Macaca fascicularis: one gene and its partner. The protein of the gene in region 2 interacts with the protein of the main gene of each other region in a pairwise test. Links are inferred from orthologs where the notes say so. Each region holds a gene or a part of one and is shown on either strand. Other genes may lie near its edges.

Region 1 (3,651 bases), on a different chromosome or scaffold from region 2:
GCCTGTAATCCCAACACTTTGGGAGGCCAAGGCAGGTGGATCTCTTGAGCCCAGGAGTTCAAGACCAGCCTGGGTGACATAGTGAAACCCTGTCTCTACAACAAAATACAAAAATAGCTGGGTATGGTGGCGCACACCTGTAGTCCCAGATACTACGAAGGCTGAGTTAGGAGGATCACTTGAGCCTGGGAAGTGGAGGCTGCAGTGAGCCGAGATTGTGCCACTGCACTCTTGCCTGGAGCTTGGGTGACAGAGCAAGATCCTGTCTCAAAAAAAAAGAAAAGAAACAGAACAGTAGGATCCACAGTTAGGGAGGCTTTAGGATCAAGGGAAATTAAAGTATAAGACAGCAATTTGGAAACTATAACTTGCTACCTATGTGTAAGGAGAATTCTAGAAAGAAGATGGTCGAGATCACAACCCTGAGGAACAACTTCAATTCAAGAGTAGGAATGAAACAGAGACCCCCAAGAGACATTCAGCCCAAGAGACAGATGAGCACCTTCTGCTCTGTGTGCTGTCCTTCCATGCTGGGATTGCAATAAGGAATCTGCATATTCCCTAGTCTCAAGCAGTTTGTAGTTTGCTGTTGTGTTTCACAAAGTATATTTGTGTGAATCACCTGCATCCAGACAGACTTGTGTTAAATACAGATTCCAGGGCCCTACCTCAGGCCTACGGAATCAGAATTTCAGGAAGTGATGCGAAGAGTTTGAATTTTTAGCAAGTGACTCATACTCTGCCACACAAGATGATTCGTATTCCCACTACAGTTTGAGAACCACTGGTATGTTGGGTGCTGAGCATGTTAACAAATAAGAGTAGGTTTAACAGTTAATCGAAGACTAGTAAAGCATTTGTTCATCTCTTTTTATGTTTACGTCATTAAATAAGAGAAGCTGGGCTTGTTAGGTGGGAAATAATAGCACATATTCATAGGCAGACTTAAGGAAAATAATCTTAAACTCATGCCATATTGTTTTAGTAATGTTTTGTTTATGAAGGGTCTTACCATTCCTTTCTTGTGGAAGCTTTGAGTTATTTTCACTTTGTTTCTATTATGGATAATGACTTTATACTGGCAGTGTACAGTAAAAGGATAAGATTATGGGCTCTAGAACCGTACTGCCTAGGTTTAAATTGCAGCTCCACACTTACTAGCTCTGTAATTTGGGGGAAATTATTTAAGTCATTTGTGCTTCAGTTTTCTCATCTATAATAGAAGTATCATAATAGTGTATAATCTCATTGAGTTGTGAGGACTAAATGGATTAATAATTATAAAGTACTTAAAATGGTACCTGGCACATAGATAGCAAAGGTACATAAAGATGTCTTCATTCTTTAATGTAGAATTAAAGCCTGCTGTTAAGTCTGTTGTTAAGTTTCATGTTATAGTACCTTGTTAGATATTATCTCCAGGTAGTATGTTGGCAAATGATAGTAAGTTACTTTTGAAAGATTATGTCAAATAAATATTCTAAATCTGTGTCTTTTTCCTTTTGATAGACTGAAGCCATGGCGATTCTTTTTGCTGTTGTTGCCAGGGGGACCACTATCCTTGCCAAACATGCTTGGTGTGGAGGAAACTTCCTGGAGGTGACAGAGCAGATTCTGGCCAAGATACCTTCAGAAAATAACAAACTAACATACTCACATGGCAAGTGAGTTCTGTTCTGCATGTGGTAAGGGATGAAAGAAGGGAATTCTGTTACTGTAATCAGAATGGTAGAAAAGCAGAAAACAAGCTTCTAGGTACATAATTTGAATAAGCTGACAGAATAGTAACCTTCAACAACTTAGAAAATATCTGGTTTTGTTACTTATAAATTTAACTTGTAATTATTTTATTCTGTTATTGAAGTGATATTGTTTTATTTTGAAGAAAGATATGGAAATGTTAAATATAAAAATGACTTTGCTCTAGAGCTGTGTGATATGTGAAATGATTCAGATAAGATAGATAATGTTCCTTTGTTCGTTCTTTCAGTAAATATTTACTGAGCGCTTAACTATTGCCAGGCACTTTGCTTGGTGCTGGGGATATAACAAGAAATGTAGTATTTGCCTCATAAGGGTTATAGTTTAATGAGGGAGGCAGTCAAATCCATGATGTCAAGGGTGGGAGGGTGGGAAGTAGTAGATAGGAGGATGGTATTCCAAGTAGAAGGAACAGCAGGTAGAGAAGTATGGAGGCATGAGATCATAGGGCGGGCATATTTAGGGAATTGCAGACTGTTCTCTGTGACTGGTGCCCAGGATGGTGAAAATAAAGCTAAAGAGAGATGGGTAGAAGAAAAGTCATGTAGAGCCTTGTAGGCCATATTAAGAGCTTGGACTTTACCCTGTGGGCAGTGGGAAGGCATTGAAGGTTTTCAGCCAGGATGTGACACAGTCAGGTTTTATTTATTTATTTATTTATTTAGAGACAGAGTCTCACTCTGTCACCCAGGCTGGAGTGCAGTGGTGTGGTCTTGGCTCACTGCAACCTCCATCTCCCAGGTTCAGATGATTCTCGTGCCTTAGCCTCCTGAGGAGCTGGGATTACAGGTGTGTACCACCACGCCCAGCTAATTTTTGTATTTTTAGTAGAGACGGGGTTTCACCATGTTGGCCAGGCTGGTCTCAAGCTCCTGACCTCAAGTGATTCACCTGCCTTGGCCTCTCAAAGTGTTGGGATTACAAGCGTGAGCCACCGCGCCTGGCCTTCAGTCAGTTTTTGCTTTAGAAAGATCACTCTGGTGACTGTTAGAGTGGCCATAGATGGGAAATCTTAGTAGTTAGTTTTAAAAAGTGCCTCAACCTTCCCCATTGGCACTTGAAAATCTTTTCTTACTTAACCCAGCCTTACTTCCTTAGTTCTTATCTCAGAATGAGGTCCTTATTACTTTCTATGGCTAACCCCTTATACAGTTTAAGGTCCACTCTAAGCTACTGTGAGAGAGACCCCCGAGATACAGTATTAATTTTAGTGAGATAGTCCAGAGATGAGTGGTTTGGGATGTTGGGGTGGCTCTGCCATTTCCAATTCCCTAATTCCCAAAGCGATTAGTGCTTTCCACCTCTGGCCAAGGCAGCTCCTTTGGTGCTTGTTATATCCCAGTGCTTGCCCAGTAATTTTAAAGGCAGGACCCAGAAGTGGCCTGATATTGTTGAGAAGTTTCTACTTACATCTTATTGTTCACTACACAGTCATGTAGCTAACATAGCTAGAAGGGAGGCCAGGAATTTTCTTCTGGCTATCCAGTCGTAGGCTCAACTAAAACTCTGTTACTCTGGAGGAAGTTATAGGATATCAGGGGATGACTTGCAGTCTTCCAGTCTGCTCTTCTGGCCACCCAGATATTTCAGTGAACCTTTCTTCCCAAACATAGAATACGCCTCTTCTCTGAGAAAGGTAGCTCAAAAGACCTAGTCACTGTGTTTGGCTCCAAGTCCAGCATGTCTAGGTGGTACACAGTCCTCTCCATCAGGCCCTGGTGTGGCTCCTGTGGTCTACTGACCATAAACTAAAAGATAAGTCATATGTTTTCCCTGCTTTCCCAGCCTAACCCAGTAGACAACGGTTCTGCTTTCTTGGAGGAACTCCCTCACCTTTTTTCCCTGACTCCTGGCTTTGTTCTACAAGAAGTTCTTCCTTTCTGGCCACAT
Region 2 (3,651 bases):
TACGCCAACATCCTGCAGCAGAAGGAGCAGGCCGGGGAGGCAGAGGGCGCCCAGGCCGTCACCCAGCTCATGGTGGACCGGCTGCCCCAGTTTGTGCAGAGCGCAGACCTGGAGGTGCAGGAGCGGGTAAGGCTGCACTCGGCGTTGGGCCAAGCCTCAGGGAGCCCTCAGTGCCTTTCTGTCTAGTGGCGGCCAGGTTGACGGGGCCTCCCTTCCTCTTCTGAAGCCACTCACTGAGATTCCTTTGTTGCCACTTGTGCCAGCTGGGGTTTGGGGTTAGTCAGTGGGACCTTTAGGTCAGTGGGACTGGGCAGGTCTCTGGGGTGCTGGGTATGTGGGGGTGCTGCTCCTGGCCATAGGAAGAGCCTGTTTCACAGGCGGCGAGACAGCAGGTGTGAGAGCCTGGGGCTGGCTGTGGCTTTTTCTGGTGCCCTGCAGGTGACGTGGGTTCTGGGTTGAGCAGACTGTACACCTGTGCCAGCTGGTGCCCACCAGTTCCCAGGTCTCTGTTTTTCTGTTTGTTGTTTTGTTTTGTTTGAGATGGAATTTCCCTCCTTTGCCCAGGCTGGAGTGAAGTGACGTGATCTCGGCTCACGACAACCTCCGCCCCCTGGGTTCAAGGAGTTCTCCTGCCTCAGCCTCACAAGTAGCTGGGATTGCAGGCACCCACCACCACACCCAGCTAATTTTTGTATTTTTAGTAAAGACGGAGTTTCACCTTGTTGGCCAGGTCAAACTCCTGACCTCAGATGATCCTCCCACCTCAGCCTCCCAAAGTGCAAGGATTACAGATGTGAAACATTGCGCCTGGTCATCTGTGAGAGAGATCGGGAGCGGCATCAGCCCATCCAGTGGCTGAGGAGACCCAGCGTCAAGGCTGCATGGGGTGTGGCCCCGGGCTTCTCTGAGCAGTGGCATTATCTGGGGGCTGGCCATGATCCTTGGCCCATGGTCACTCTTGGAGCTGCCCAGCCTGGCTGTGTCTGAGTTGCAGCCAGCACAGAGGCAGGGAGCCCGCAGGGGCCGAACAAGGTGGTGCTTCTGGTGTCGGGGCACAGGCCTTATGGGAGGCATTTCTGCAGTGGGCAAAGCTCCCTGTTGTGCCCCCATCTCTGTTCTGTTTGTGGACTGGTCTTTTCCGCCGCTGCTTGTCAAGGATGACAATGGAGATGGCATGAAGGCTGGGCTCTCTGTGGGTACCTGGCTGTGCCAGAGGGCCCGCATGTCACTGTGCCAGGGGCTTAGCCACCCAGTGTCCCTGAGGGTGGCCAAATGGCCTTCCGGGCAGGTGCCAGCGGTGACTCCTGCGTCCCCCGCAGGCGTCCTGCATCCTGCAGCTGGTCAAGCATATCCAGAAGCTTCAGGCCAAGGACGTGCCCGTGGCGGAGGAGGTCAGCACTCTCTTTGCTGGGGAGCTGAACCCAGTGGCCCCCAAGGCCCAGAAGAAGGTTCCAGTCCCTGAAGGGTAAGGATACGGGGGTGGGGGCATTGCAACCACAGCCTTGACGTGGTCGCCTGATGCCTGGAGGCACAGAGGGGGCTATTGCAGCCCTCAACAGCCAGGAGGGTGTGGGGCTGATTGGAGGCCTGGGGCGGGCGCCCCTCGCTGGACTCACCGGGGCTCTCTCTGCTTCTGGGACCTGGCTGGAACCTGGGGATGCTCCCTGGGAGGTGGGCCTGCTCCACCCTTGCCATCAAGCTCTGAGGCAGCCTGAACCTGCCGTGAGGGCCCCACTGTGACCCTGCTGTAGCCTTCCTGGGTCTCTGCATGCTCTCTAAGGGGCAGTGACACCTGCCTCGCTGGCCCTGTGTGGGTAGCAGGCACCACTGTTTGGGGTCTCACATGGCCAGGCACGTGGTGAGCCTGCTCAGGGTGGGCGCCTGCAGGCACGTGCTCAGTCACACACACTGCCTTGTGTGACCCTCCTGTCTGGCACAGCCTGGACCTAGACGCCTGGATCAACGAGCCACTCTCGGACAGCGAGTCAGAGGACGAGAGGCCCAGGGCCGTCTTCCACGAGGAAGAGCAGCGGCGCCCCAAGCACCGGCCGTCCGAGGCAGACGAGGAAGAGCTGGCTCGGGTGAGCTGTTGGGTGCCCCTGGTGGGCCTTCGCCTCCTCCCTCCTGTCCCAGGGAGTCTTTGAGGCTCCTGAGTCCGGGGCTTGGTTCTGTTGGCTCAAGATTGTGCACCGCCGCCCTCCAGGACGCCCCAAGTGGGTATTTCATGTTATGGTTGAGTTTCATTGAGCTTCACTGAAATGGGGAGCATCTTGGTCAGGCGTGGTGCCTCATGCCTGTAATCCCAGCATTTTGGGAGGCCAAGGTGGACATATCATGAGGTCAAGAGATCAAGACCATCCTGGCCAACATAGTGAAGCCCTGTGTCTACGAAAAATACAAAAATTGGCTGGGTGCAGTGGCTCACGCCTGTAATCCCTGCACTTTGGGAGGCTGAGGCGGGCGAATCACAAGGTCAGGAGATCGAGACCATCCTGGTTTCAGTGAAACCCCGTCTCTACAAAAAATACAAAAAATTAGCCGGGCGTGGTGGCGGGTACCTGTAGCCCCAGCTACTGGGGAGGCTGAGGTAGGAGAATGGCATGAACCCGGGAGGCAGAGCTTGCAGTGAGCTGAGATCGCGCCACTGCACTCCAGCCTGGGTGACAGAGCGAGACTCCATCTCCAAAAAAATAAAATAAAATACAAAAATTAGCTGGGTGCGGTGGCGGGCACCTGTAATCCCAGCTACTCAGGAGACTGAGGCAATAGAATTGCTTGAACCGGCCGGGCGCAGTGGCTCAAGCCTGTAATCCCAGCACTTTGGGAGGCCGAGACGGGCGGATCACGAGGTCAGGAGATTGAGACCATCCTGGCTAGCACGGTGAAACCCCGTCTCTACTAAAAAATACAAAAAAATTAGCCAGGCAAGGTGGCGGGCGCCTGTAGTCCCAGCTACTCGGGAGGCTGAGGCAGGAGAATGGTGTAAACCTGGGAGGCGGAGCTTACAGTGAGCTGAGATCTGGCCACTGCACTCCCGCCTGGGCGACAGAGCGAGACTCCGTCTCAAAAAAAAAAAAAAAAAAGAATTGCTTGAACCCGGGAGGCAAAGGTTGCAGTGAGATCATGCCATTGTACTCCTGCAGCCTGGGTGACAGAGCAAGACTCCATTTCAAAAAAAAAAAGACATGGGGGACAGCTTCTCTAGATCCAGGAGCCCCCCTGAGGAGAACTCCATTAACCCTACCTGCAGCTGGGGGCATGTGGGTGCCTGTGTGGGGCCCTTCCCTGACCCTACCATAGCTGCTGTAAGACACTGCAGACACGTGCAGCCCACCCAGACCAGAAGCTGGGGAAGGTGAAGGAGGCCCTGGACCCCATCCTCCCGAGGCAGATGCAGCCCCTGTGCCCCGTGTGGGGCTCCACCTCGCCCTGCTCACCTGTGCAGAGAGGGGAGCCCCTCCAGCAGTCCTCTCCTTCCATCCTACACCGACAGAGGGAATGCCCATGGTGGGCTGCGTGCGGGCCTTTGTGCTCCTGCATCCTCCAGGCCGTGCTTTCAGGCAGCCCTGGCAATCAGGAGACCCTGTCCCGAGCTCAGCAGCCCCAGCCCGTCTGAGCTGCTCATCAGTAGCTGGGTAGCCCAGGCAGGTC

What was found. The genes of interacting proteins can lie anywhere in the genome.
Region 1: the proteins of AP3D1 (region 2) and VAMP7 interact in a two-hybrid assay, tested with the Homo sapiens proteins (2 studies listed by BioGRID and IntAct). The link is inferred for Macaca fascicularis from reciprocal best matches to the Homo sapiens genes AP3D1 and VAMP7.

Annotation. Positions count from the first base shown.
Region 1 is NC_088395.1:161,929,550-161,933,200, forward strand, and holds part of VAMP7 (vesicle-associated membrane protein 7), read left to right. Parts: intron 1-1,509; 5' UTR 1,510-1,518; coding exon 1,519-1,664; exon of another isoform or gene 1,665-1,680; coding exon of another isoform or gene 1,681-1,685; intron 1,686-3,651. UniProt on the Homo sapiens protein: Involved in the targeting and/or fusion of transport vesicles to their target membrane during transport of proteins from the early endosome to the lysosome. Required for heterotypic fusion of late endosomes with lysosomes and homotypic lysosomal fusion.
Region 2 is NC_088393.1:2,759,791-2,763,441, reverse strand, and holds part of AP3D1 (AP-3 complex subunit delta-1), read left to right. Parts: coding exon 1-126; intron 127-1,319; coding exon 1,320-1,465; intron 1,466-1,939; coding exon 1,940-2,081; intron 2,082-3,651. UniProt on the Homo sapiens protein: Part of the AP-3 complex, an adaptor-related complex which is not clathrin-associated. The complex is associated with the Golgi region as well as more peripheral structures.